Regions from separate parts of the Mus musculus genome. Here regions 1, 2, 3, 5, 6 and 7 are each reported to be linked to region 4. Evidence: microRNA targets listed by miRTarBase, many of them from high-throughput screens and not tested one by one. Region 4 holds a microRNA gene; each other region holds the end of a gene's coding sequence.
What was found. Region 4 holds the annotated microRNA mmu-miR-30e-5p (UGUAAACAUCCUUGACUGGAAG, at 1,624-1,645, shown strand). A microRNA usually pairs through its seed, bases 2 to 8, with sites in the 3' UTR of a target mRNA and lowers its output. Matches are read on the target gene's strand: a 7mer-m8 pairs with bases 2 to 8, a 7mer-A1 pairs with bases 2 to 7 and ends in A, and an 8mer does both.

Region 1: miRTarBase lists Snx27 as a target of mmu-miR-30e-5p. Seed matches in the 3' UTR shown: 7mer-A1 at 1,155-1,161.
Region 2: miRTarBase lists P4ha2 as a target of mmu-miR-30e-5p. Seed matches in the 3' UTR shown: 8mer at 793-800.
Region 3: miRTarBase lists Ppargc1b as a target of mmu-miR-30e-5p. Seed matches in the 3' UTR shown: 7mer-m8 at 3,497-3,503, 8mer at 3,341-3,348 and 7mer-m8 at 429-435.
Region 5: the mRNA of Mier3 is a reported target of mmu-miR-30e-5p. Seed matches in the 3' UTR shown: 8mer at 3,028-3,035, 7mer-A1 at 2,861-2,867, 7mer-A1 at 2,505-2,511 and 7mer-m8 at 1,899-1,905.
Region 6: miRTarBase lists Ipcef1 as a target of mmu-miR-30e-5p. The part of its 3' UTR that is shown has no 7-base or 8-base seed match.
Region 7: the mRNA of Nhsl2 is a reported target of mmu-miR-30e-5p. The part of its 3' UTR that is shown has no 7-base or 8-base seed match.

Annotation. Positions count from the first base shown.
Region 1 is chr3:94,497,734-94,501,788 of GRCm38, reverse strand. Snx27 (sorting nexin family member 27) reads left to right here. Exons shown (of 12, transcript NM_001082484.2): 12 at 518-4,055. The coding sequence ends at 565. Among named protein-coding and RNA genes, the nearest start is that of Celf3, 21 kb to the right of the region's middle.
Region 2 is chr11:54,130,786-54,134,852 of GRCm38, forward strand. It overlaps P4ha2 (procollagen-proline, 2-oxoglutarate 4-dioxygenase (proline 4-hydroxylase), alpha II polypeptide), which reads left to right. Exons shown (of 16, transcript NM_001136076.2): 16 at 405-882. The coding sequence ends at 475. Among named protein-coding and RNA genes, the nearest start is that of Gm12223, 9.0 kb to the right of the region's middle.
Region 3 is chr18:61,295,124-61,299,190 of GRCm38, forward strand. Ppargc1b (peroxisome proliferative activated receptor, gamma, coactivator 1 beta) reads right to left here. Exons shown (of 12, transcript NM_133249.3): 12 at 1-3,660. The coding sequence ends at 3,560. Gm46627 (a long non-coding RNA gene) reads left to right here and starts at 3,279. Exons shown (of 5, transcript XR_003952647.1): 1 at 3,279-3,341.
Region 4 is chr4:120,770,238-120,774,304 of GRCm38, reverse strand. It overlaps Mir30e (microRNA 30e), which reads left to right and starts at 1,608; the gene lies at 1,608-1,699. It overlaps Nfyc (nuclear transcription factor-Y gamma), which reads left to right. Exons shown (of 10, transcript NM_008692.4): 5 at 538-633. Mir30f (microRNA 30f) reads right to left here and starts at 1,699; the gene lies at 1,608-1,699.
Region 5 is chr13:111,714,540-111,718,606 of GRCm38, reverse strand. It overlaps Mier3 (MIER family member 3), which reads right to left. Exons shown (of 13, transcript NM_172593.3): 12 at 4,020-4,067; 13 at 13-3,923. The coding sequence ends at 3,466. Among named protein-coding and RNA genes, the nearest start is that of Mier3, 30 kb to the right of the region's middle.
Region 6 is chr10:6,886,709-6,890,770 of GRCm38, reverse strand. It overlaps Ipcef1 (interaction protein for cytohesin exchange factors 1), which reads left to right. Exons shown (of 9, transcript NM_001170800.1): 9 at 96-4,062. The coding sequence ends at 296. It also overlaps a transcript of Oprm1 not described here. Among named protein-coding and RNA genes, the nearest start is that of Ipcef1, 92 kb to the left of the region's middle.
Region 7 is chrX:102,082,503-102,086,569 of GRCm38, forward strand. Nhsl2 (NHS-like 2) reads left to right here. Exons shown (of 8, transcript NM_001163610.1): 8 at 104-4,067. The coding sequence ends at 425. Among named protein-coding and RNA genes, the nearest start is that of Rtl5, 13 kb to the left of the region's middle.

The sequences.
Region 1 (4,055 bases), not on the chromosome of region 4:
CCAGAGTTTTAGCCATTTGACTGGATAAGTCACAGTAGTGTCTTTCTTCACTAACCAAGAAAATAAATGTGGGGGAAATTTTTTGCTACTGTTGTTTATAGGTGTCAGTGCTGGAGCAGAATTTAGAAAACTCTGTCTAAATACTTGGTTACTTACTCTGAAAGAAAAATCAGAAAATGAAGAAGTATAGTCAGTCACTTGGAAGTTGGTGTTCTTGCTCTAGTAGAAAGAACACTGGGCTCTGGAAGTCATCTGGGATTTCTCCTGCTTCTTTTGTCTGTGATTTTGGGCATAGCAACCACCTTTTTAGATCTGAATTATCTCTTTTGTAAAAGAGAAAGACTGAGCCAGGTGGTAAATATTCAGAGTCCTCTGTGATGTGAGCGGCTGTGTTGGCTTGGGATTGTTGAATCCGGTTGTCAGCGCGTGTGCTGCTCCCATCGTGTCGGAGGGTTGTCTCCAGATCGGAGGCCCTGCTGCTCCTCAGTAACTCTTTTTTTTTTTTTTTTCCTTTCAGAATATTTTCCAGATGGCGAGGTCACAGCAGAGGGATGTGGCCACCTAGCCTTTCCTCATCCCTTTATCTTCTCTTTGCCCTCAGCCTCTTAGCCTTTTCGTCTCCCATGTCAGACAGTAACCATTAACACAAAAGAAGAAAAAAAGGAAAAAAAAGTCACTATGTCCCAAAGTCCTAAGCTAAATATTATTAATAACTTCCTGAGAATTTCCCGTCTCTGGAACTGAGCTGGTAGAGAGCAGGTTGATAGTACCAGAAGTCCACTGAGATCAGACACACAAGCCCAGCCAACACGCCAAAGTCATCTTTGTCGTTTGACCCGGGCCTCATACCAACAGACTCTCCTTGTACTATATTTTTAAAACTGGAACTATGAACTCCATCCATTTGCACTGTTCAAGCATATATATGTATGTATGTATGTAAAAATTATATATACACAAATTAGCTGCACGTATATACATATATATATTTCTTTTTAAATTTCATATTGATGGCAGTACCTTTTTTAGCTTGTGTTTTTACACACCTTTCACAGAATTCATGACCTCTCTCTTGCTCTCTTTATTTTGAAACAAACTTTAAAAAGGAAAAAAAAATACAGGGAAAATACCTCTCCTCATGAAGGACTCGAAAAGTTTACAACCTGCTTGGGTTTTCTTCCCTTTTTTGTATTGAGTACAGTTTCTGGCTGTTGGTTTGCCATAGAGTCTGAGGATCGAGGAGTGTAGTGTCTTTATCTTCAAGAGGGTGCTGAGGAGGAGAAAGGCCGTTTCTCAAGAGCAGTTGAGGCTGCAGGGAGTCTAAAGACCTAGAGTCTCGATTCCAAGTCATTTTCCAAGCCATGGTCCATCGATCGACGTTGAGTCCGTCCTCCATCTCCTTCCTGTTTCTTTAGGGTCTTTTATTATGCTCCCTTTTAACTGACCCAAAACAGTTCAGGGTAATCTGAGGAAGCTGTTATAGTAGGAAACTTTTTCTTCTGCAACAGGGGTTGTATCAGGACTAACCCTGACATCAGAGGTTGGACAGATGGAGGAAAGGGAGGATGGAAGCTGTGCCTCAGATTTATAAGGGCCTTACCTCTTCCATTCCTGTCCAGTAACCATCTATTTTACATCCTCTGTGAGTTCTTTAAACAGCTGTACGTGGAAGGAGTGTCTTGGGTAAACTTAGAGTCTGGGTTGCTGCCAACCAAATCAGAGCCCTGTTCATGACAGCTGAGGGCCCAAGAAGTGGGAGTATGGTCAATTTTAGTTCACCACCACCATTTACTTCAAAGGAGACTGAAGAGAAATCTCTTAAAGAGTTCTTTACCTGGAGCTGGGGCTGGTCCCGAGGCTGAGGCTGGGGCCGGGAGTGTTTGCCTAGCCTGCATAAAGCCCTCAATTCCATCCCCAGCACCACATAAAATTTGGGTGTTGGGGTATTGTAGCACACACCTGTAATCTCAGCACGTGGGAGGGGAATGCAGGAAACTCAGAATTTTCAAGTCCACCTCTGCTAACTAATGAGTTCAAGGCTATCCTGGATCACATATCTCAAAAGTAGAAGAGTTCCTTACCTGCCCCTGCACTTAGACCTCCTAGGACCTAAAAGCAACATTTGGGACAGAGGCCAGGCTGGCACTAGAGTAATAGTCTCAAACCTTGAGTGTAAAGAACTCTGAGGTTAGGTACAACTAAAACACGTCTTTGAAACTCTTTATCTACTTTTCCTTCGATATTGAAGCCTCCACAGGCTTCGTCTTTGGCTTTATGTAGCTGAAAGGCAGCCAGAATTGGATGTAGTTGGCAGTGTTGGATTTGGTTTAAAGTTTCTTTCATGCCTTGGTTTTGCAGAGCATTCATTATGAGGCTACTTTTCTGTCTCCATTATTCTGGCAGCCACTTGTCGCAGGAAGGTGTAAACACACCTTTTAGGATAGTCTTTCCCTCCCCTGTCCAAACCCGTGGGACCACAAAGTACAAAATATAGTAGTGTTTAAAGTTGAAAAGGGCAATACCTGATTTGGAGGCTTTAATCAGGATCAACTCTCCCTCTTGGCTTTACTAATGAGTCTGAGTACCTTAAGAGGGGGCGAGTTGATTTCCTCTCCAAGATGCTCTGGAGGCCAGCTGTGTTCAAACTGTAAAAAGAGCAACATTGCAGCTAATTCCCTCAGGAAGAGAGCCTTCCAGAATAGGGACAGGGCTTTGGAAGTCCTGAAGAGTCAGCCCCACTGTGTTGGGGTTAACAGAATCTGTAGGAACACCCTGCTTTAGGTAGTCTTCCTACCAGAACACCCAGCTGCAGCAGGGAGCTGGGAAGAAGCAGCTCCCAGGGTCTCCCAGTGGAGCTGCAGTCCTGGAAGAGGAGGTCACGGTGGCCTAGAGGCCCACAGAGGCCCACAGGATCAAGTTCTTTTGCATGAAGCAGTGTTAGATGTAACTACTCCCTCCCCCAAACCCCTACCCTTCCTTTCTCTAATCCCTTCTATGTTTCTTAGACCTGGCTTCTGCCCAGGAAGGCATCTACAGGTTTTTTGGGCAGTTTGTCTCTGGGGAAGGGACTTCCCCTCCCAGCTTCACTCCAGCAGAATCTTCCTGGTCTCCAACTGTTCTTTCCTCCACGAGGAGTTTCTGTTCTCTGATACTAAAACTCAAGAGATCTTTACGGAGCAGGAAACTACTTAGTCCCTGAGAAGCCAGGTGCTCTAGGAAGCTTTGCTTGGGCAGTGCTTTGAGCTTGCCGCTCTTTGTACTTTTATTCCGGTCTTCGTCTCTCCGCCTTCCCCTTGCCCTTGCGGAGGCCTCAGCTCAGCACAGCTACAGTCAGTGTTCAGGGCAGTTCCCAGGCCTTGACAGAGCTCTCAGGGAGGAACAAGGTAAATGCTCTAGCATCCTCTTGCCTGGCCCATTTAATTTTATCCTTTAGTTACCTGGGCCAGTAGCTTTGAATTATCCCTTCATTGCTCCAAACCCGATGCCTGAAGCAGCAAAATAGGGCACTGATAAGAGGGAGCACCTCTCTCATCTCAGAGTTTCCAGCTTAAGGGCCAGCTCCTAGAAAGCAGTCTTCTTAAAGGGACCTACATGCATTTGCGTTTAGCTGAAGTCTCCAGGAATGGAGGTCCTTTCTGCCCTCCTTTCCATTCTGCTGGCTTCAGCACACTGCTGCTCCTTCACCAGTTGGATGGGTTGCTTTAACTTCTTTTTGGAGGAGCAGCAGTGTGGCTGAATACTTAGCGCCAGCGGGAGGGAGAACGCTTCTTTAGTCCTCCGTCTTGGATTCTTCTTCCTCTAACCCTCAGCATATCTGCCAGGGCTCCTTTCCCTGGATAGCAGCAGCTTCTTTCTCAGCAGTAACTGAGGGTGCATGGAAATCGGGCTCTGGGGAGGAGCGACACCAGAGGGACTGATCCTGGTAGGAGCACTTGGTTAGCTGCTGACCATGGGTGCCAACTTGTTATTATGCCCCCTTGTAAGCTGCTGAGCTGGGCTTCAGTTTTTCCCAGGCCATGCACACTTATAATTTATTTGAGAGAAACTAATTGTAT
Region 2 (4,067 bases), not on the chromosome of region 4:
ACCAGAGTGGCTCCTGCCTTTGGAGACTTTCTCAGCTCACTTTCTGCGTTTACTCCACTTGGAGTGGCAGCCGTATGGTATACCCGCCTTCTTTCTGGGATAACTTCTGTTGGCTTCCTGTTCTGTTTCAGTACTGCTCTCATCCCTAACATCATGAGATGCTCTTTGGCTTTGTTCCCATGGTAACTTACATACACCCACCGAATCACTGGTTGGCTTCTGCACCATTATCTGTGTGCTCATGTATTTTCATCAGCACGTGAGCAGCTTGAAGCCTGAGGCCGTGTGGCACTGGAGTGTTACCCACAGAGCACAGGGCAGTGGTCATCATGGAGGAAGCATTCGTTTTGGCTGCTTGCTGAACTGATAGGTGGGATGGTCATGTACTTGCTTTCTGTTCACAGTCTCCAACAAGTGGTTCCATGAGCGAGGACAGGAGTTCTTAAGACCTTGTGGAACAACGGAAGTTGATTGACGTCCTTTTCTCTCCGCTCCTCCCTGGCCCATAGTCCAAATCATCTTCAAGTTCAACATGACAGCTTCCTTTTTATGTCCCAGCTCCTGTCAGGCAGGTCATTGGAGGAGCCAGTGTTTGACTGAATTGAGAGAGTATATCCTGAGCCTAGTCCTGGGTGACCTGGGCCCCAGACTCTGACCAGCTTACACCTGCCCTGGCTCTGGGGGTGTCTTGGCATGGCTGCGGTAGAGCCAGACTATAGCACCCGGCACGGTGCCTTTGTACCTCAGATATTTCAGGTAGAAGATGTCTCAGTGAAACCAAAGTTCTGATGCTGTTTACATGTGTGTTTTTATCACATTTCTATTTGTTGTGGCTTTAACCAAAAAATAAAAATGTTCCTGCCAGAAGCCTTAAATAGCCTTATTTTGGAGTGTTTTGGTTTTGTTGTTATTCTTGTTTGGTATTGTTTGTATTGTTTGGTATTGTTTCCAGGAACTGGGCCTGGCTTGGCTTAAAATGCCTGCCACAGCTAGGCGTGATGGCACATGCCTTTTATCCCAGCACTCGGGAGGCAGAGGCAGGCGGATTTCTGAGTTCAAGGCCAGCCTGGTCTACAGAGTGAGTTCCAGGACAGCCAGGGCTACACAGAGAATCCTGTCTTGAAAAACCAAAAAAAAAAAAGAGTGCCTGTCACACGAACATGGACCTGAATTCTGATATCCAGCAAGTACATAAAACTCAGGGCCTGACAGTGCCTCCCTATAATCTCAGTGCTAGGGTGGCAGAGGCAAGCATCTCTGGGGCCTGCTGACCAGGCAGCCTAGCCAAATTGGCAAGCTCCAGGCTCAGTGAGAGACACTGTTTCAAAAAAATAAGGTTGGAAGCTCACAGAGGAAAATGGAAGAAGTGGATGGCCAGTCTCCACAAGCCGGTGTACACACAAACACGCACACGCATGAGTGTGTAGCACACCACGCAGGAGCTCTTTTACAATTTTTTTTCTGATTTGTGTGCATCTCTGCCATACAGATGTTCTGCAGAGCAGAACACTAGCCCCAGGTTCTAGACCTGGTTTTTCCACACTGGCGTGCCCTCCAGGCTGCAGTGTGGAAATCGGAGGTGGTAAGTAATCTCACCTGCTCACCCAGAGAACACAGAGAGAACAGGTGTTCACAGCTGGAAAGCTGTTAATGTTCGGCATGGGACATGTACACTGAGTTGTCCCCGGTGACAAATGTGAAGAATGTGAAAGCATGTGTCACCTTCTGCCGGCTGCAACCTTCCTGTCAGCACTCGGGAACCGTGTGGGAGGCCCACCAGACTGCATCTCCTTCCCGGTCCCCAAAGGTCAGTGATAGCCGTGGGCTGATGGTTTGCGGTCACCACTGAAGTTTCCCTCCTGTGACCAGGTCACTGAATACAGTTACCTCATTTTCACTGACCAAGTTTGTCTGTCTGGCTTCTTTCATCTGATATTTTGTTGAAGGTCTGTATTACCACAGAGTTTGTTTTTAACAGTTCATGCGGCGGGGGTGGGGATGGGGGTGGGGGGCCCTCCAGAGAAACAGAACTGGAAGGGTGAATATATGTTACAAAGGGGGATTTATTAGATTGCCTTACAGGATGCAGGCTGGGTGGTTCAACAGTGGCCAGCTGCACTCTGGAGAGGCTGAGAACCAGCAGCAGTTTAGTCTGTGAGGTTTGGTGACTCTGTTGTCCCAATCTGGTGCTGAAGGCCTGGGGACTTCAGCAGAGTGACTGGTCCCCAGTCCACATTGGGAGGTGGGAGAAGCAGTGAAGGGTAGCAGCAACTGGGCAGATGCACTCACCAGCAAGACGCAAAGGCAGGCAAGGAAGAACAAGAGAGCTGCTGTTTTGGATCATCTTGCATCTGGACCATCACAGGAACGTGTTGTGTACTGTGAGAGAGGGTTCTCCCCCCTCCGTTAATCCCTCCTGGAAGTGCCCCCACAGAGCTGGCCAGAGGTGTATCTCTTGGTTGACTCTGGATTCTATGATATTGGCACTCAAGATTCATCATCACAGTGGGTCTATATCACAATACAGAATTTGAGAGGGTCTCAGTCTTTGTATAGCATGACAAAGGATGTGATAGGCATTTTTATACATGACTTCTGGTTGCCACAAATACAGTTCTTTCGTATATTTACCTAAGAACAGAAATGTGGACTTCCCGTTGGTCAGTCTTCAGTGTTATCTTATGATGTATGCAGTATGTTATACCCACACTGACCAGGAGTAAATGAACGTTCTTACCCTACCTCCCTCCAGCATCTGGTGTGGTCCTATGCTTAGGTTTTAACTAGCTGGGTGTGTGCTGTGGACCAAATGTTTGAGCCCTTCCCCCAATTCATACATCGAAATCCTGACCCCTAGTAGTATTAGAAGGTGGGATCCTTGGAGTTAATGAGGTCATAGGACTAGTGTTTTCTTAGGGAGATATATGTTGTCCCAGTCAGGGTATCTGTTGCTGTGATGGAACACAGTGACCAAAGCAAGTTGGAGAGGAAAGGGTTTGCTTGGCTTTCACTTCCACATCGCTGTTCATCACTCAAGGAAGTCAGGACAGGAACATGGAGGCAGGAGCTGATGCAGAGGCCATGGAGGGGAGCTGTTTACTTTTTACTCCACATGGCTTCCTCATCCTGCTTTCTTATAGAACCCAGGGCCACCTGCCCAGGGATGGCCCCACCCACAATGGGCTGGGCCCTCCGCCATCAATCTCTAAGAAAATGCCCTACAGGCCTGCCTACAGCTTCATCTTATGGAACATTTTTTTCATTTGAGGTTCCCTCCTCATAGATGGCTATAGCTTGTATCAAGTTCACATAAAGCTAGCCTGTACACTTTTAAAAGCATGATTTTTATTTTTAAATATGCATTGTTGTTCTGCCTGCATTTGTGTCTGTGTCAGATCCCCTAGAACAGAAGGTAGAGACAGTTGCAAGCCGCCATGGAGATGCTGTAAATCGAACCCAGGATCTCTGGAAGAGCAACCAGTGCTCTTAACTGATGAGCCATCTCTCCAGCCTCTGACAGTGTGTATGTATATATATATATACACATTCATGAATGATATCCCAGGGAACTCTCTATCTTCTTGCCATGTAAAGAGATAGGAAGAGGATAGTTGAACCAGGAGGCACACACTCATCAGACGATCCAATAGCGCCCTGGCTTTGATTTTTCTTCACTTTTGAAATAAAAGAAACAAATAGATCATTTTATCCAATGTATAGTATTTTATTATGGCATCCCTGTATACGGCATCCCTGTATAAGATGGTACCTGTTGGTGCATATCAGTGATGCCGAACACCCTTCTGGGTTTATTGGTCACTAGGTGTCTTCTTCAAGTTTTCCTTAGTGATTCATAGACACTTCAACTTTGTTCATTATCTTTTCCAAATGCCTGTGTTGTGGGCTGTCTTTTTCATTTTTAGTTAAGGCTATCTTGTCTTCTTGTTGCTCTTCTGAAGGTAACCCCTCCCCTCCTTGTCAGTAGCTTTTAACATTTTTTTTTCATTTTCATTTAATTTCTTGTGGTTTTGCCTTGATGTAGTATAGGACTCCTTTCTATTTTCCTT
Region 3 (4,067 bases), not on the chromosome of region 4:
TAGGACTTGAGGACTAAGTCTTTGTGGCTGGCTCAAAGCAGTCCTCCCACCACCCCTGGAACCTTGCTGTTCACCAGATTCTAAAAGATCAACAGAGACACACAGGCATAGGATGGGTACTTTCTGACTCAAAGCATTTTTCTAGCTGGGGCCACAAGTGATGTCGGGGGATGGGGAGTGGGGACCTTGGCTGTATCCCATTCAGTCATATTTACCTATTTGATGCATTTTCCTTCCGTAACAGAGTCCCCTGAGAGAGAGAGGACTCTGATTCAGCCTTGTAGTGACTGAGGAAGGAGACGGAAGAATTCCTCTTAGTGATTGGATCAGACATTTCTAGAAAATACCAGCACAGCAGAGATATGACACGGAGAACTGCCCTCCCTGGGCGGCTGTCAACAGTCTATAGGAAGCTATGGCAATCACACGTAAACATCATTGAGACACATCACGACAGCTACAACGAGAAGGTTGCCCATGGCGGCTGCTCCCTCTGGGTTACTCCTTGATTTGATGGGAAAGAGACCAAGATGGATTCCTGGTCTCGAAGGGGCCTGACAGTCTCCTTGGTAAATTATATGCAGCACCGAATGGCTCTTCCAGAGAGGGGGAGGAGGGGTTATCTGCAGAGCTGGTAGTCCATTTTTATGAGAGGGTAAGTGGAGAATACTAGAGAGTCTTGGTGGGCATCAGTTCCCACCAGGAAGTTCCGGTAGGGCTCAGGGCTCTGTTCTGCTCAAGAACAACATCTGAGTGACTTTGAGTGCCAGAGAGTGAACTGACTGGTCAGCTCCAGGTAACCCTGGCTGGGAGAGAGAAAGACTTAGTGTTTATTAAGAATTTGATCTTTTACTCCAGACCCAGCATCTGGCTTCAGTGTAGCTGCGGAAGCAGATGGTAAGATAAGAGCCCATGGTTCCTTGGACAACTCCTACATTGGAGGTCCCAAGAAGAAGAGACTCATAAAGTCACAAAAGAAGGTCTTGGTGGGGTCAGAGTTCAAATGGCTCTCCAGATTATGTCTGGTCCCTTTCCCTTTGGGTGATTTCAGCGATCACTGGCTTTCCTCTGTGGTTAGAGCCCCGGTTTTAGTAGATACAACTGAAGAACCATCCCAGTCCACACCCATCTTCCATGTGCCTACCATATGCCAGGCAACGAATAAATGAATAAAGGAATTCAGAACGATTAGGTCTGTACTGTGAAAAGTCCCCTTTTGGATCTATCCTCAGAAGTCACGTCTTCTCCAGTTCTGATTCCGTGTTCTACTGCGCCCTTCCCTTTCCACACCCCTTTGTTTTGTAATAGTTTGGGAGTCTTCTACTGAGTAATGGCTTCAGGGGCATTTTTTTCTTTTTCATGGATCAGGTTATGACAGGAACGGCCAGCATAAAAACCAGCCAGCATATGGCTCTACAATGATAGTCTTCCAAAGATTAGAACAGGATGTCAAATCAGTTAAAACACCGACCAATTAATAATGCCTGCCTAGAGCACTGTGTATTCTAAGAGCACGACCAGGCTCAAAAAAATTAGTGTTTATGATCAATTAACTATGTTTGCATCCCAAGGATGTGTGTGTGTATGGGGGGGGGGTGGGGGGAGGCGTGACTATGTACTGCCTGAGTAGCTGCTAAGACTTCTTGCTGTCTAATTTGCTCCTCAGTCCATTTCACAGAAAGGGAACCTGGGGTTTAGGGAGGCCAAGGGATCTATCTCACACACAGATTCTCTGTTCCCCTATTTCTGCTAGAGCCAGCCTCCTTATCTATAGGTGAAGACTTTTCCCAACACCAAGCACAAGATCATGGCTCACTTTCTCTACTGAGGTACTTGATAATCTTAAAAAAAAAAATTAACCACCAATTATCAAAGGAATAAGCCTGTCATTAGCAGCTGATTAATCAAACTTTCTTATTTGGCAGAACAATGAATGAATGGATGGAGAGGGGGAGAAAGAGAGAAAATGTCACAAGACCAAGGAGGAACTGATCTATATGAAGCATTAGAGCTGATACTCTGCCCATAGAGCCGGCTCTCCCTCGAGAAGGGCCCCTGGGGACCCAGAGAATGTCACACTGGATATGGCTTTGACAGTAGTCAAGAACGGGGTCAAGAGGAGCTCACTGTGAATGCTCCTTGGGAGTGCCTTGTCCACACCCCCAACCTGTACAACCCCTCACTCGGCAACTCTAACTTTACAGAGGAGGGGCAGGCAGGGACACTGTAGGATATCGGAATGGGCTGCTAGTTGCCCTCCCTGCCCGCAAAGGACAGCCCCTAGGTGAAGTCTGTGCACCGCTTGCAGGGATCTCAGAACCTTGAGGGGTATCCACAGGCAGGATAAGTCGCAGGACACCGAGGATCGAAGCTCAGGGACACCTGAGTCTGTGCTGAAACTTGAATTTGCCTTAATGCTGGTGAGTCAACTGGTGGCCCAATTCTCAAGTGAGCTATTAGGCTTCTAGCCTATTGCTCAATTTAGCTAATTCCACTCCTCCAGTCTCTGACTTTTGCATCTTTAGGCTAACTACTGCCGCAGGCTGGGGCCAGCAGTCAGGAGGCTAGAGGTGGCTCACTGCTCTGCCGTGAGACCTTGGGCAGCACATTTCACAGTTCACCTCTCAGGGCACTATATCCTCTTTCCCCGTGGAATGGGTCTAACATAGCTTACCCCACCTTCCCTACAGGCACTCAAGGTTCTGAGCACTAAAAACAGGTGCCCTCCAAGTGTGGGTAGACAGGGGGAAGGGATTCTCGTTACAGCTCGAGTGGAACTCACTCAAAAGACACCAGGACTTGGTAGAAGATCCCTAGACACCTCTCTCTTCTTCACACCTGTGACGGCAAGCCCCTCTTTCCTGGGGACTTAGAAGCCACCCAGTATCTCCAGGACTACATGGACCAGGGAAGCAGCAGCGCAGCTCAGTAGCAAACACCTCGTGACAGTGCATAGTTAAACAATCAAGGAAGCAGTACGTTAATCCCAGGCACAGTAATCAGAGCCATAAATACATTTGTTTTTTTTTTTTTCTTTTTAAGGATATACTTTTTTTTTCTTCAATTAAAAATGAGTTTCTAACTCCTGATTCTATTCACAAGTAACAATGTCATCATCACACTCTACAGACAGAAGATGTTATGTGAACACAGCTCAAGTCTAACAGAAGGAAGTCAGTCGGGTGGGAGGGGCAGAGGACGACTGACAGCACTTGGAGGCGCACCCAGGACGATCCGCTGGAAGCGAGGACGACGCTAACGTGGCAGTGGAACATCAACAGCATGGAAACTCACGGACGGACGGACGGACGGACAGACGGACGGAAGCAGCTTTGTTCAATGTAAACATTGATTTGTTTTTGTTTTTCGTTTTTTTTTTTTTAAAGGAAACGACAGCAGATTCAAGTCTTTCTCTCTCCTGTGTGATCTCTCACGCTCACTCGCTCGCTCGCTCGCTCGCTCGCTCTCCTTCTCATATACTCTTTTCTTTGAAAACGTAAACATATTGGAAGGGCCTTGTCTGAGGTATTGAGGTATTCCTCGAAGGTTAAGGCTGATATCAATGCAGGCTCTGCTGGGCCTCTTTCAGTAAGCTGTCAAAATCCATGGCTTCGTACTTGCTTTTCCCAGATGAGGGAAGGGACTCCTCAGATGTGGGATCTGTGGGCCAGTGAGAGGTGAGGTGGTGAGAAACTCAGTCGAAACCAGCAAATCTACCACTGAGGGTGGGCCTCAAGGAACTGGGATAGCCAGGGTTTCAGGCCTCATGGAACTGGGATGGCCAGAGTGTCACAGTGCCGTAGTGGGCGCTATCACAGCACCAATGGCCATTCTGCTGTGACATTTCTTCCATGTTGGCAAGGCCTCATAGCTTCCATGTTCCTGTTGTAGAGCAACGGGTCCCTGAACAGAGAGCACCCTACAACTCCTTTCCGGCCAACATCCTAGAAGTGCTAACGGATCTCATACAGACGGGAAACAAGTCTCACGATGGACTACCTGTATCGCAAAGGCTACCATGGGCTCTCCTCCTACAAATCATTTGTTTCTGTGCCGTGTTTCTTTGT
Region 4 (4,067 bases):
TAAGTGCCTGTAAAAAGAAAAACAACAACAACAACAACAAACAGTGCTTAGGGCCTTTAAAAAGATCATACAAGTGAATGATGGGCTGACCTTGTGGACCACAGAATGCCAGTTGAGACTGCTGGCTTTGTCCTGAATTAGCCAGAGGATGGTGGTTTTACAACTTTATGGAAGCTTTGAAACCAGAACAAGCAGAAATAGTGGTGAGTAGGGCTCAGATGTCCTGGCCTAGAGCACGAGATATGTGTATCTCTTTCGTTGATTTCTGTCCAGCAAGTCTGATATAAATTGAGCTGTTCTTATTTTTAGCTCTAGACAAACCTAGAGATTTTTAGTACAGTCTAAAAGTCATCTCCTTGGGCTGGGGCATAGCTCAATGGTAGAATACCTGTCTAGCTTGTGTAAAGCTCTAGGTTTAATCCCAGACACTGGGACTAGGGGATAGGAGAGGATCATGTCCTTTTACTTGAAGGATAACAGCCAAAAGAACTAGATTCTTCCTAGGCCAGTTTTTAACTTTGTTTTTCTTTGTTACAGAGGAATGATATTGCCATGGCAATTACAAAATTTGATCAGTTCGACTTTCTCATCGATATTGTTCCAAGAGATGAACTGAAACCTCCAAAGCGCCAGGTGAGCTGGGAGGATTTGCTCAGCTGCCACCTCCAGGGCCTGGGCAAGATGCTCTCCGGAGCTCCTCCCTCCCTCCCACCCAAAGCATTTCTTGTTTGTGGTTCTCTTCCGTAGTCCAGATCATCCTCAGCATCTCCTTCTACTCATTTATGGGTACTTTTAACTCAGTGCCTCTGGGGTGGGGTTGCAGTGAGAGAACAAAGTTAAAAAGACTAGTCACAGATAGTGGGGTGAAGCTCAGTTCAGGATTTCTTCATCTAAAATAAAAGCTTTTTCAGCCAGTCAGTTTTCAGATTCTAAGAAACAACCTCTTTGTGCATAGTGATCAGATTGGAGCCAGTGGCTTTTATTTTCTTACTCTATGCTGTGTCTCTGTAGTGTGATGACTCTACCCATCATCCACTGAGTCAGAACCTATGACCCCATGACCCCAGGAATCAATAATTAAAGTTCCCTAGATGCTTTGGTGTCCAGTGAAGTTTTAGAACCACCATTTACATTTTTCTTTTTAATTACAAGAACTAAGTGTCTGCCCTTCTTCTGCCTGTTCATCTCCAAAGATCACACCATTTGTTTTGTTCAGCACTTGGGTGCATATAACTTAGTTGTGATTGTGATAGACCCCAGTCCTATAGAGCTCATTGTTTCAGGCACGCAGTTTGCATGATTCACTAGGTTTAGTGTAATATGCCTCAGAGAAGTAAAGCCATACCATGTCCTGCTTGTTTTATTTTTGTTCATAAAATATAAGTGTTTTTAACTAATTATTTTGTAGTATACTGTTTAGAGTCATTTAATGACAACCATTCTCCCCATGTTGACCTGTACAAATAACCAGTCAGAAAACCTGTTGGAGAAGTGGGCATCCTAATTGACATTAATTCTGACCCTGCATGAGGGTTTTTGGGTTAGCAAGCCCTGGGTCACCTCCTTATGGGAGCAGGTTGTGCCTCACTGAAGCTCTTTATTTTTCTGGGCAGTCTTTGCTACTGTAAACATCCTTGACTGGAAGCTGTAAGGTGTTGAGAGGAGCTTTCAGTCGGATGTTTACAGCGGCAGGCTGCCACAGTCGTCCCCGGCTGCGCTCATCGGCTTTGAGACATTGCAGGTTTGTGCCCATGAACTTGTCTCCTTTTCTTGGGTTACTTCCTTTCTCTCTGAGAAGTCACAAGAACTCAGACTGTCTCTCTTCGTTTGGAGCTGATAATACCATGAGCCTGTTTTCCTTATTGGATTTTTGCTCCCATGTATCCACCAGGAGTTTCCTTTAAAGACAAGGTGGTAAGATCTGTGATGCAGTCAGGCATTGCTCTTATTGTACTGATTGTTCACTATGGGCTGCCTGCTGAATAGATGACTAAAGAGAAAGTTATTATCCTATACCAGTGGTTCTCAGCCTTCCTAATGCTGCACCATTTAATACAGTTCCTCATGTTGTAATAACCTCCCAACAATAAAATTTTTTTCATTGCTATTTCATAACTGTAATTTGCTACTGTTATGAATTTTAATGCAACTATCTGTTTTTCAGTAGTCTTAGGTGATCCATGTGAAAGGATCTTTCCATCCCACAAAGGGGTCACAACCCACAGGTTGAGAGCTGCTGACCTATACCTTCCTCCAAAGTTGTTTGTTCTTCTGGGTCTGTCAGGGTGTTAGATTTGCTGGTGGTCTACCCCATCTCCCTCTTTTGTTCTTTGGTTTGGTTTGGATTTTTGAGATAGGCTCTCCCTGTGTATCCCTGGCTAGACTAGACTGTGTAGACCAGGTTGTTCTGGAACTCGGAGAGATCTATCTGCTTCTGCCTCCTGAGTGCTGGGATTCAAGGCATGGACCACTATACTTAGTCCATCTCCCTTTAAAAGGTATACAGCAAGAACACTCCTTTAGCTGCCTGGTTTTAGTTCTTTGTAGGTGTTTGAGCTATTGATTGGCATCCTATTCAGGACAGCTGCTGCCTGGCATTTAAAAGGTTGAGATTGCTGAAAGCTGGCCTGAAATTCTAAGATAGCATTTTTTAATTCTCTGTAGACATGAAGTTTTCCCAAGCTCCAAATTGGCTGGCACCTCCTAAAGTCCTTTAAAAGTGCCTACTCTCCAAAACACACCCTCTGAAGGAGGCAGCAGTTCACCCTGCCACTAAAGCAAATGTATTTTTTCCCCTAGTCTGGAGCTGGCTGCTCATCAGTGTAGTGATGACCCTGTGCTGTGATACTGTTTGTTCACTGTCACTGTTTTTCAGTCTCAGCACTGGAGAAGCCACTGTTAGTGTGGAGCAGGTACCCTTCTGTACTGAGTGTTAGCATGGAGCAGGTACCTTTCTGTACTGACCTATTCGGTCAGGTGTTTTCCTAGGGCTTGGTGCTGATCCATCTGGAAAGGGAGACACTGGATTATGAGGCTTCTCAGAGATGATTTGGAGTCTCCCTCTCTCTTTTTTGCCATGGAAGTAAGTAGATTGTCTGCAAGTAGATGGTAGTTGAGGGTTGACTTCTCCCCGACTAAGCTATGAGTTGAAAGTTCCTTGCTCATTGAAATGTCATTATCTTTTCACCCATTTCTTTAAATCAAGCATCATCATTTCCTGCTGGCTTGATCTCCATTTGCAGAATGAGTGCTTCATAAAGCAGAAGAACCTTACTTGTGCCTCCTTCCATCACAGCAATTTGAAAATAGCCATGCTTGTCCTGACAACAGTGTTCTAGAAACTGTCTAAGTCATTATTACCTGAGAGGATGCAGTAGAAAACATGGGAGAGGCTACCTGCCTGCCTGAGAGCTTTTGCTAAAGCACTATTTTGGGTTCTGGCAGAAGTATTTAAAGAATTTGCTTTTTATCTTGGAAAAACAAAACAAAACCCTTGTTCAGTGTTGTAATTATGGACACCTAGAGCTGATCACAGGTCAAAGGCAGGAAGGGACCGTGTCCCCAGCTGCTCTGTGTTCTCAGTTCTTAATACTCTCATAAGCTAAGAGTGTTTCCACTGTTAAGTCCGGCCTTCCTATTTCTAAAATAGGAAGGGGAGATCTCAGTGAGGGGAAAAATAGACACTGAACTTATTTCCACAGCTTTGGAAAGAGCAGTTGACCTCAGTTTTGTGGTCTAAAGGAGTATTGGTATGTATCCCTGCCAAGACATGGTTGCCAGCTGACTTTTGCTTAAAATGGAAAAGAAACCAAAATTGAAATGGACCTGGCTTTGACTTGAAGTTGAGAAAATAAAAGGAGCTCTATATATATATTTTTTTTACCTCTGCTGAAGGTTGAGGACTGAAACTGTGGGTTTGAAGCATAGACTACATTATCGCAGAAGGTCAGCTTATGCTTAAAGACTTGCTTGGATAACCAGAACGTTAGGAACAGTTTTGTGTTCTGGGTTGATGACCATTGGGGAACCTTGTTATGTTGCGATTGAAATGTCTCAGAGGCTAGTTA
Region 5 (4,067 bases), not on the chromosome of region 4:
GACCCAGGAAAACAGATTCCCAGATTTTTATTTCTGGAACTGTACACCAGGTATTAAAGTACAACAAATACAAAATAATGCTCAAAAAATCAGTGTTTATGTACAAATATTAAAATCAATGCAACAATAGCAACTTCCTCTTGAACACTGGATACTAAAACTTGTTCTGATTGTCACTAGTTCCTCATACTCACAGGGTACTTAGTTCAAACTGGGACAATTGCAATCACTGGTCATCTAAGAGGAATATTAATATCTACCATATTTAACAATAAAACTAATAGTTTCCCTCCTTTTAGTGAAAAAATTAGGAACTTTTTAAAAAACATAGTAATGTCAATATTTTATAAATTATTTCAATTTCCATTCGTAGACAATGTGCTTTGAAACTCTGGGCAGACAATCTCCTTGGTGGTCGGGTTGTTAGCTTACATTCAACGTTGAAGTATTTACTAGACTTTGGTTAAATTAAATAGCGCTACTACTCTATTAGGTCTGATCGCAAATATTTGTGACCTTCAATTTTAAAAATTAAAAAGGAAGCGATTGCACAATTCTTTGACCTAATTGTACAGACTTTAGGTTTTTTGTGTTTTTTTTTTTTTAAATAGTATTCTACATCCTTCAAGTAAATTCAGCAGTTGACCATGACAAGAGGAAAACTAAACATTAAAAGGCCGGCATAGCACGGCGAAGCACACGTGACGAAAGTAAAGTATTGCTCCAGTCACAGCACCAGGTCACACTCGTCAACGTCCACATCCTCCGAGTGCCCTGGACACACAGGATGGGCCAGCCGACACCGCCACTGCTCACCATGGATTTTTGGTTTGTTCATATGAAAATATTGCGGCAAATGAAAGAAACAAAGAATTCATCACCGTTTGCTATAAGAATTGTGCTTATTAACACGTGATAATAAAGGCATTGTTTTTCTTCATACGATTGCAAAGCAGATTTTTTATGCTTTCAAACTCAATTCTTTTAATAAACAGTAACAAATTCTCTGTTAAGATGTTCAAATGGAGACAAAAAAATAAGTCCAGCTGTTGGAAGAAATTCAATAAATAGCTATTTTACATGGATAAAGTCATAGTGGTACAATTTATGAATGTCACATCAGGCATGCACAAAAATGTATCATACATGACAGGAGCAGTCAGAAAATATTGAATTAGGTCTAAAAAGATATGAAGAATTTACTGTACACATATATACAAAAATCTTGCAAATTATTGCCTCATTTTAACAAGGAATTAAAAGTAAACGTTACCAGCTAGGTAGCACTCTCTAAGAGGCTAAAATCCAGTTAGCATTTAAAAATCTGTTAAACTAGCTGGAATTTATTTCTCTCATATCATTTTTCTGGATTTTGGTCAAAACTCTATTTAAATAACTAAAGTGTCCATTCAACTTGCTGATAATCAAAACTCTAGATGAGAAACACTGTTTCCATCTTACATCAAGACCCCAGCGATGCATAGATAAACTGTGCCAGCCAAAGAGAATGGGCATTTTCATGTAAGTGCAACTGGTATTAGCATTCAGTTATCTTTGTATAAATCATTTATACAGACCAGCCACGGTAAACCCAGAGTGAAAAATATAGTTTTAACAATGCAAGAACATGCCCGGTATCCTCCTACATTAAAGAAAGTCTACTGAAGGGAACGAAAAAACCAAGGTTCAAAGTTTAGCACAGCACAGCAATAAAAAGCTAGCTAACCACTTGGAGAGTATTAGAAAGCAACATGGAGCCCAGGCTACCCATTGTTTACTGTGTGCATACAGGAATACTCAATTTTAGATGTATAAGTTAAAGACTGATTTTAAGTTATTAATTTAACTACCCTTTGTCCTCTGTGCTAAACTAAATTTTATACTTAATGTGCTACTGCGTAAACACTTCAAAGCAATCTTCATTAAAATGCTGCAAAGGAAAACAATACACACCATCCAAAAGCAAGGATGTCATTGCAGTTCACAGTTTGTGCAATAAATACCCTCCCGTCCAGTCACTAGGACCACTACCTCCTACCTACTCTTCAGCACGACCTTGAAGCGACTCACACTTATAAACAGCAACACAACTAGGAAAATAAAAAAAAAAATCAAAATATTTAATTAAGACGGTGCAAAAAGTAATTGTTTTAACTGTAAAAGTAAAGCTTATATCCTAACACTGTGTTGTAGAGTTTGACTCACCTGAAAACTTAAAAGGAGCATGTCTAATAAAGCAAAAATGGTCAAAGCTATGACAATGGCTTCTTACTCATGTTTGGAATAAAAGTGAAATCACGTCTGAGATGCACGTGAACATCTGTCACGTTTTAAAACTTAAAAGTGGTAACGTACCATTCTACTTCAGACAGAAACTCACAGTTTTCTTTCCAACTATTTGAGCTAAACAAAGTAGCTTCAAGGGTCTGCGTTATGTATACCATCTAGAAGTCTAAGTATATTAACACTTTGAACTGCAGTGCTCCAAACAAGGTGTCCCAAAATGTAAACCACTGTGGCAACTTCCTGGGCTTTGTAGACTGTGCCTTGCAAGTCAATTGCCTCGGAACAAACTAAATTACCAGTGACCAGTATGATTTTTAATATTACAATCTTGACAATGGTGGACAAAACCCCATATGAATACCACATCTTCAAATGCCAATTTTTTTGTAAAAAAAAAAAAAAAAAAAGAAAGAAAGAAAAAAAAAAGTTTACACAGAAGTCCCCCGGCAGTACAATGACCAATTCTGTGTAAGGTAGCCCTGGTCTGGAATTTTGAAACAGGATCCAAGCAAGTGTCTCCTTCATTTGCACACAGCTCCTCGCGCCGGCTTCCAGACAGATGGTCTTGCTGTTTTGTAAACTGAAGTGCTCTAGTTGAATAACATGAGAGAAGTTTCTGTTTTTAAAAAAAATCCTTGCATGTTTGTGCAGTTTAAAGAAACCTACCCCTGCTTTTATTAATAAAGAAAACAAAAAAAAATAATAATAATGCTACATTGAACAGGGATCGGGGTTGGTACCTGTAAACATTGATCCCACTGCATCCGTTACGGCAAAAGGAGCTGACATGAAAAGAGGCCACATCAGTTCTGAACATCTGTGCTGGTTTGAGCTGGTGGCCTCTGTCTACAGGTTTTAAATCTGGGATGAGGGCGGCGGGAACAGAAAAAAAGGAGGCCGTGGAAGAGGTACTAAGGGATGAGGAGAAGCAGAGCTTAAAGCTGCACCACAGAGCTCCATCTTAGTTCCCAACTCTGCGGATCATAGTTCATTTCCACATTTATGGATTGAAAAATGAAAATACTCTTGATAAATCAAGATATAGTTCTATACATACTGACATCACTGATGTCATAGTGAAAAAGGTTCAAACTTCCAGTGAAAGACTATGCAAACCTGATAGCTCCCCTTCAGTTTACTGGTACTGCATACCCATTGTCTCTGGGCTTCCCGTTCCCATCACTCTGAATGAAGGGCGGCGTGCTGGTGCTGATGCAGACTATGGGCATTGATGAATCCGTTTGTCTCGTTGGCAGACAAACTGCCAAAGTCAGCTACAGAGACAGCCATTTTGGCACTGGTGATGTGATGTGTATGGTTTTCAAAGTCTACACCCAGGTTGTTTACAGAAACCTCATTCATAAAGGATTCGGGGACAGCAATGCCCATCTTCAATCTCTTTGCTGGTCTTTCGGATTCTTCGCTGCACATGGGGTTTAACTCTGAGTGATAAAATCCAGTCTCAAATAAATTAAAACAATCACTTTCACCATTGCTGGGCAGGGTGAGTAACTCTTCCGTTACGACAGGCACATGATTGACGTGTCCACGAGGCGTGTTGGCCAGCGGAGGAAAGCTGTCATCCAGACAATTCACAGCGGTGGGGTTGCAGACAGTTGCTACACTGTTGGTTAAAGCTAGAAAAAGAACGGAAAGGAGTTTAAGTGAGAGGTCACTGCTCTGCAACAACAGAATGCAGCCTGCAGCAGGCTGTGCACGCAGCCTCGTCTTACCTGTCAGGTCACTGGCAGTGAAGGAGCTGAGAATGTTCAGCGGCTGAT
Region 6 (4,062 bases), not on the chromosome of region 4:
ATGTCTGTGAAAGGGCTGAAGAAGTTGACTCATAGAAGTTCAGGTCCTCACATAATCATGGATGTCACTTTCCTTCCTGTTTTCTTCCCGGCCAGTGCAAAGAACACGATTTGGCTATGATCAACCAGCTGCTGGATGATCCAAAGCTGACAGCCAGGAAGTACAGAGAGTGGAAGGTCATGAACACCCTGCTGATCCAGGACATCTATCAGCAGCAGGCACCTCAGGACCCTGAAGTCACCCCTCAGGAAGTCATGAATCCCACGTCTTCTGATTGTGTGGAAAATTCTCTTTGAGCAGATGCCCAGATCCCACCCCCATTCCTGTTACTATACCATTCTACAGGATGCTGCCAAGGGCATTCATTCTGCTTACAAGGAAATCCCAAACCCAGTTCCTGAGACATCATCCATTCCCCGCAAGGATGCAACTGAGGTGAAGCCAGTTTTGATGCAGTGGGAGTCCTGGCGCCCAGATGTTGCCTTCCTCAATACTAGAATGAAGTGATGGAGTTCATCTGAGCAGGCATATCGTCTGTGCTTCTACTGGGAGCTGGCTGGAATAATAGGCTTTAGGTGGGATGTGAAATGGGTGAAACCCCTCTTTTTGTTTTCAAGAGAATTACAACCTGCCATAGACAAAAGGCTCAATTTTACCAGGGATAATAATTCATGTTATTTTGTTTTGCAAAAGAAGCATGAAGAACTCCCTTTGGTGGGCAGCCAAGTTCTGCAAAACGTTGTGAGTGGAGGAATTTCTTCCTTATTAGCTACTGGAACTGGACGCATGTTGGCATTTGTGGAACACAAGGCTCTTCTTAATGTTGATGTTCTATTTGCTGAGCACTTATTTGCAGAGTAGAGCATGGTGGGGGCAGAGAATGGATAGCCCAAGGAGGAGGCATTTTTCCTGTTCTACTCAGAGGTCAGCTTCATAAGTTCATGCTTTACGTAGGGCAGGGGATGTGATTAATATGCCTCTTCCTCACAATGTCTAGGAGACAAACTATCACATGACCTTTGGAGATGTCGTTCCCCCCCACCCCCAGCTTCTCTGAACAGTGGTAGGATATTAATACCCACTGTAAGGAATGTTATATTAAGTTTACCCCTGCCTGTGGTGCCTAGAGCCAGCATGAATTCGTGTCCAGTTTTCCTGGGATCCAAATTCTCAAGGTTATTTCTGAGTTGTTCTTAACTTGGAGAAGTACCCGGACCAGCAAAATGGGATCATTTTATTTTTGTATGTTTATGTGTCAAATGGTGTGAGATCTGAACAGTGATCTATGTTTCTTATTTAAATATATTTATAGAAATGCAAATTATAGTGTTCTAAAAGAAAGTGTACTATTATGTGTTGATATATAGACTATACATATATATGTGTGTGTGTATATATATATATATATATATGTCTAGAAGCATATCATTTTTGCTTGAGAAAAATAGGTATAGTAGTGACTTACTGGTATTGTATTGCACTATGATATATAAAGAATGCTCAGGAAATCTCGAGAGAAAACCACGGGAGCATGTATTAATAATTACTAATTTTCTGAATGCTTTCTTTCCATTACAACCCCACCCTCAGCTCCAGAGATCTTACATTTCAATGCCTGTTACACATCATTTTCTTAACTAGCTCCTTAGGTTAGCTCTTCTATTCACAAAGGTTAAGCTTTATGATATTTAGTTGCCATGAGTTGTAGACCCAAAGAAACACATCTCACAAACTATTGAGCCAAATAAAATATAAACAATATGATTCCTAATTATATACTAATAAAAATTAAAGTTTGTCATTAAAGAGATCTCAAGGAAAAACAATATATTAATCATAATGACAACTTCTAAATCATAACCTTAATTCACTGAGGACCTATGTGTGTCTCACGTGCCCTTTGAAAATTGTTGACGTATATATTCATATCATAACATCCCAGGTGGCTCGGCAAACTCAAATAGAAATAGCCACCTGATCTATATCTATAAGGTGAATAGAAAGAATTGTTTATTATTTCCCTGTACTTCACCAAGACTTTTTTTGTACACTGAAATGAAAACCAGTCCTTGCCTTAGGAGGGAAAAGTAAAGAAGCAGCAAAAAGAGAAGCAGAGAGAAGCAGAGAGAGGCAGAGAGAAGCAGAAAGAAGCAGAGAGAAGCAGAGAGAAGCAGAGAGAGAGAAGCAGACTCATCAAGTGGCGAGACGAAGCCTGGGGATGAGCTGAGAGGCCCTGCAGGGCCCTCCATGGATCCATGCAGTTGGAGATGCTAATGCCTATCAGGACTGATTCCATTTCCTCCTGTGGCTAGTAGCTGTTCAGAGGGCAATGTTTTGGGGTTCACAGTGAAAGGAAGCATTGGGGGGAGGCAAATTAGCATTGGAACAACCTTAGCCTGGGAGAAAATATCCACTCATGTCTTTTATTAGCAACTCCACTTTACAGACCTCCATCCTCCCCCAAGTGGAAGCCCCAAACACTTTTTATGAGGGCTGATTGCTATATTTAAATGTTTTACGTTGGCTTTCCACTCATAGGTATTTAACTGACCTTTGAATGTAAACTCCTTTAGGAACATTCAGATCTAAAGGCAAAGTTGGTTCGTGAGATTGCTTGAGCAAGTCATAGGGTTAATTTTCCAGGCAACTTCAAGAAAGTCAGAGCAGACATTTCTGCTTTGGTGGAACCAGCCTGCTGAATGTTCCCAAGTCAGTCTCAGCCGTGTCCTGACCTCCTGGGCACAAACCAACCACTCTCTGTTCCCCAGTTCTGTAAATTAATACTTCTTCACTCTGGGCTAAGTTTAGTCACAGCGTAGGGGTGCTTCTGTGGGTACCCAGCCTCAGCTGTGATCCTAAGAGTAGGGTGAGGACAGACGAGGTGAGCAGGAGAGTGAGTGACACTTCTGGGTGAGGACAGAGAGAGCGACACTTCTAGAGACCCTCAGTGAAGAGAAACCATGAGGAGCTATCCCTTGGCCTCAAGTCTCTTCTCTGGTTCAAGAGATTTGGGAACTATAGATCTCTCCTAGTTAATGGCTGGGAAATGGACTATAGGTAGTGTGAGCCCAGGGGAGACTCTTGACTGTGCCTCTGGAATGTACCAGAGCACCCATCTCAGGACACTGGTGGTGGATCTTTGAGCACGAATCTTTTAGAACCCATGGCACTGGTTAAGGATGAGGCTTCTCTGGGGACTTTTGGGGAGGCAGGGCTGAAGGAGGACTCTTTCTTTCTGATCTGAAGACCCAGATGAGAGCCTGGCAGAGGACCCTCACTAGTTGAGAAGTTGCTAACACACATATGTCGCACGTTTTTCTGTTGTTTGCAAGATGTCTGTCATTTATAAGAGTTCTTAGCTTTCCCTATCGCTTTAATCTGAGGTTAAATTCAGAGTCCCAGAAAGATGCTGGAGCGAACAGTTGCAGGATTCCAACAGGCCAAGAAAGAGGTCAGGTTTGGAGTCATATTTTCAGTGTGAACCCATGCCTTATATTTGCATAGCTCTTTGAAGTTTGCTAACTGTATGTTCCAAACCCCCTTCCCTGCGTCCTACCACCCCATAGGCTAATCGGGATGATTGTGAACTATGGGTGTAATGAAATGCCTGGCTCAAAGCCCCAAGTGGTACAGCCGGAATCTGAGTTTGAATTTCAGGTCTGTCAGCCCCTCTGCAGAGGAGGAATGCTTGTCTCCGCTTAGCCTGCTGGGGGATCAAATGGTCTGACTTGGCCCCTGTGTCTATTACTCTGGGTTCTGCACACCTGGCTCCTGCGGCTTCTGCTGAACCCCCAGAGGCACTGCTGTGAGCAGTGTCTCCCGAAAGGTCCCGCTGCCTTGCCACTGGGTTTTCTGAGAACTGGAGCTTGGCCTGATTGTTGTTTCTTTTAGTCCGTTCTATAAAACACACTATGTTAGCACTGTGAGGACTTTAAAGCTAAAGGATACAAGTCTTTTAAAGAGCTGGAAAATGCTCATTTTTCTAATTTTTCCTTTTGAGATGCGAACTGTCCTGTCAGGTATCAGAGACTTAGGGATTAGAAATGAGCCACGGATTTGTGA
Region 7 (4,067 bases), not on the chromosome of region 4:
ATACTATTTAGCACATCCCTTGCTGGCAATTTTTCAAAGCTTTGCTGGCTTTCTGCTCCCCGAATTCTCTGAACTCTCTCAGACGAGTCTTTCTCTCCTTTAGGTCCAAAAGAAAGCTACTGGGCTGGAAAGAGACTGGGGAGGGCTTCACGGGAAGCAAACCCAGCTCCCATTCACCAGTGAAGAATACAGCTGATTCTCCCACCGGTGAGGCTGCTGCTGCCCCAGGGCCAAGTAGCAGTGCCTGCCTAGATGCTGGTAGAAATGATGATTTCAAGGCCTTGCTCCAGAAGAAGGGAAGTAAGGCAACTCCCAGGACCCGCCCCTCAGCGGCCGAGCTGCTGAAGACCACTAACCCTCTGGCTCGAAGGATTATTGCACAGTTCTCAAAAGACTACGAACCCACTGACAACCCCAGTACCTAAGCCCTGCTTCTAACTTCCTAGGCCTGAGTAGAGAAGGAGAAAGAGAGAGAGCTTTAGAAAGGAACCAACCACAGGAATGACAAAAGAATCGATGTCTTTGATGTTAACTCACACTCTGAACAGCAGAGAGGACAACACAACAATGGAGCTCACCTGGCACTCAGATAGGCTTCAGACCTTCCACATTTCCATTATTCCATCCTTGCCATGACTGAACATCGGAGTCCTACTTCTTGTCTCTAGCCCTGTGCACTAAGAGAGCCTCAGATTGGAGAGCCACCTTTTCAACGTCCTATTGTCTTTGTCCATTGGCTCCTGTCACTGAGGGACACAGTACGGAGAACAGATTGGGACCTTCTAAATCAGGCCTGGGGACAGAGGGTACCAGTTCCCACTGTTGATTATCTACTTCCTTGAAGAGGCCTTGATGGCCCTTTGTGAAGACACAGAAAGACACCAAGGCCTCCTCAACCACAGTGTGACTTTCCTCCAGAGAGAGTTCTGTAGGCGTGCACTAATTACGGCATGGGGTTGATTGGATGGCTTTTGTGGTGCAAACTATGACTGTGACTCTTCCAAAACTTCATGCCTTTTTCAGTTTGATTGTCTATGCGGAGATCAGGGTGATGAGTTTTAATAAACTTCTAGGACCCCCCCCCATTAGCTAATGAACCAAGCTCAGCCAAGGTAACTCGCATGCACGCCTTGAGGTCTCTCGAGTGTCTGTCAACATAGGTAGCCAGGATCTGTGCCCAGCTCATGCTGTATACTCCAAGAACGCTCATTTCACTTGCATGTAACATTCATTTTACAGGAAGTACTTAGGTAAAGGACCGGCATCATGGAAGGCTCCAGGAGTGGAAAGAATGGTATCTTGTCCCGATACCATTCGATTCAGATTGTGCTATTTTGTGGTTGCTTCGATTTTGTTTAAAGGAAGTCTGACTCTTTCGAAAGTCCAGAACCTGTATACTAAAAAAAAGATCCACTCAAAATCAAAAAGGCAGCCATGCTATGGCCCAGGATACAAGGGCTACTTTTTGCCATCTAGGTACTGCTATTTGGCCAACTTTCAGTTAGCTGTGGTGGAAGACAGCAGATGTGGAAAGACTTCCAGAACAACCACAATGACCCCTTCTTTTCCAAAGTCATCAGGCACTGGCCATTCTTGTCAACTCAGTTTTGTAAGCAAAGCAAGAGCTCCTGATTTCCATATACCTGCTTTCTGGGGGGCTAGGGATAAGATGGGCAAAACACTGAGCAGAGAAACCGTGCTTGCCTGTGTTGGAAAGCTCTCGGTCTTCTGGTCCCAAGGGGGCCAAAAGGAAATGAACTTGTATCGTGCTTTGCAAAAGCAAACAAACAACAAAAAACGGTTCCCTGCACCCTTCCTCCTGTACCCCTGCCCACGGCACTTCTGCCCTTCCAGATTCCTTGCTCACTCTCCTGGAGGATGCAGCAAGAGGCCAGAAACAAACAGATCTCCATTTTGACAATCCTTATCAATGAGAAGCAAGCTCTTAGCTCAACTGCCCACACTCCAGCAAGGCAACATGGCTGAAACTGAAATAAAACTCCACTGAGTGCTGAGAAGACTCGAGCCCCTGGCATGGAAGCCTTAGGCTGAAATCCTTGGTTGGGTTGGTCTAATTCTGAATTCTAGACAAATGAAAATAGGTCAAGCTCACCAACTGTCTTCTAGCACTTCTCTCAGACTTAAGGGGAAAATGGTCTCTTAAATAATAAGACAGTTCTGAGAAACTATAGTTGTTTTGGAAGTGTTTAAAACATTTGACATGAAGATCTTAACCAAGTTTCCTAAGTTTTGACTGAATTGAAACAAGAGTCAGGCAGGAATGTGTGATGCAGTTTTGATCCCAGCACCTGGAAGATGGAGCCAGGCAGATCTCTGTGAGGTTGAGGCCAGCCTGATCTACATAGCTAGCTCCAGGCTGCTGAGGCTACATAGTGAGATCTGGACTTCAGTCTTGGCCTTAGTTTATATAGAAGTATCACAGCTGACCTGAACTCAGAACTCCAAAAGACAGAGGCATTTGCCTCTGTAGGGAAATGAAGGAGCGGATGCCCATGCTTGTGTCTAAGAGAAGCAAAAGGCTCCCTGGCTCTGCCCTTCAGAAGCATCGTGAGTGGTTGAACGTGTGAGCATATGGGACTCTGTATAGGGCTTGCTACTTTTGCTGATTTTTTTTCTTTGCAAGTGTCTTGTTTGTTCCTTCTCATGGGTTTTGCCTCTCCCCTCACCTTGCTACCTCTGGAGGTGTTCCCCCCCCCAAAAGATTGTAAAACTGAACGCTTAGACCGCTTGAGGTGGTTTCAGTTGCCTGAACCCTTGTTTTCCTCTGCAAAACTCTGTGGGCCCGGGATGTTTAGAACATTTCTGCATCACTATGACCCTCAGAAACCCATTAGCACAAAAGGATTTGGGGCAGAGACTTCACAGTCAGAGAAAAGACTTAGGCCTGGGAATGTCCATTCAGTGTTTGCAGGAGTGGACCTAGTCCTAAAGAAACCAGACTATTGGGGAAAAGATTTACCACTCATTGATCAGCACACCACCAAGCATCTTTCTAATACTTAACCTTCTCTTATTCAACTCTCTTCCCTGGGTACAATGTATGCTGCCGGTGAGGATGGGGGAAAGTTGAGGAGAAACTCTTTTCAGGGAGGTTCTCTGGGAAGTTGCTTCCAGAGTGATCTCTATAGGTAGAATAGACAGTAAGTTGGAGGGAACTCAAATTGGCCCCAGGTAGTCAGCCTCTGCTTCAAGCTATTTGTATTCCCCTGTTTCCCTCCAGCTTCAATCTTTAGTGGTAGGTGGCTCTGTTAGAGTGAATATAGACAAAGGTTGGCAAGACGCCCCCCCCCATCCCCACCCCAAGATGCAATTAATGCTTTGTACTTGGTGGGTATTGATTTGTGGTTCAAATGTGAGTGGTGGAGAGCAGGCTAGTCTTAGTACAAAGGCTGACTTTGCTTGTGGCTCCTCCCCTTTGCCTGTACTCCTGGCCTGCATGGGCCTCCAACTTGTCCTCCAGTCCTAACACCCGTGAACTGCACTGGTACCAACAGCTCAGCCACAAAGGAGTCAAGGCCATGGGCAGCCAATCCATTCCTGTTAGCTTCATGACCCCAAGGTTAAGGTTCTGCCAACAAGCATTCTGCCTGACATCTACTTTATCTAGACAACCCAGATCCAGTTGTCTCCGTACCTTGTCACTCTGAGCAGATCTACCCATGCACCTGTCCACCCCCCTCCTCCTCACCTTTGAACCAGTCAGGAAAAAAAAAAAAAAAGACTAGTTATCTATCAATCACTCAGTGCTCTGTTGCTCACTGCTCCGCCCTCTATGTTAGCCAAGTCTGTGGCACAATGGTGAGCTTTTCCTTTGCTATGATTTGCCAGGGCCAGGACTAGGGTGAGGCGATTGGGGAGACGCCCACTCTCAAGGCCCCCGCCAGTGCCTTACCCTTGCCTTGGCCCTGCGATTTGCACTCTGTAAAGTTGTATCGGTTACTCTTCCTGAGTGTAGTTGTGATTTGGGGGGCAGGTTCTGCACCAAATGTTTCTTTGCTGTTTCTCCATTTGTTGCCAGAAGCCTTTGTATGCCTAAGCATTAGAGA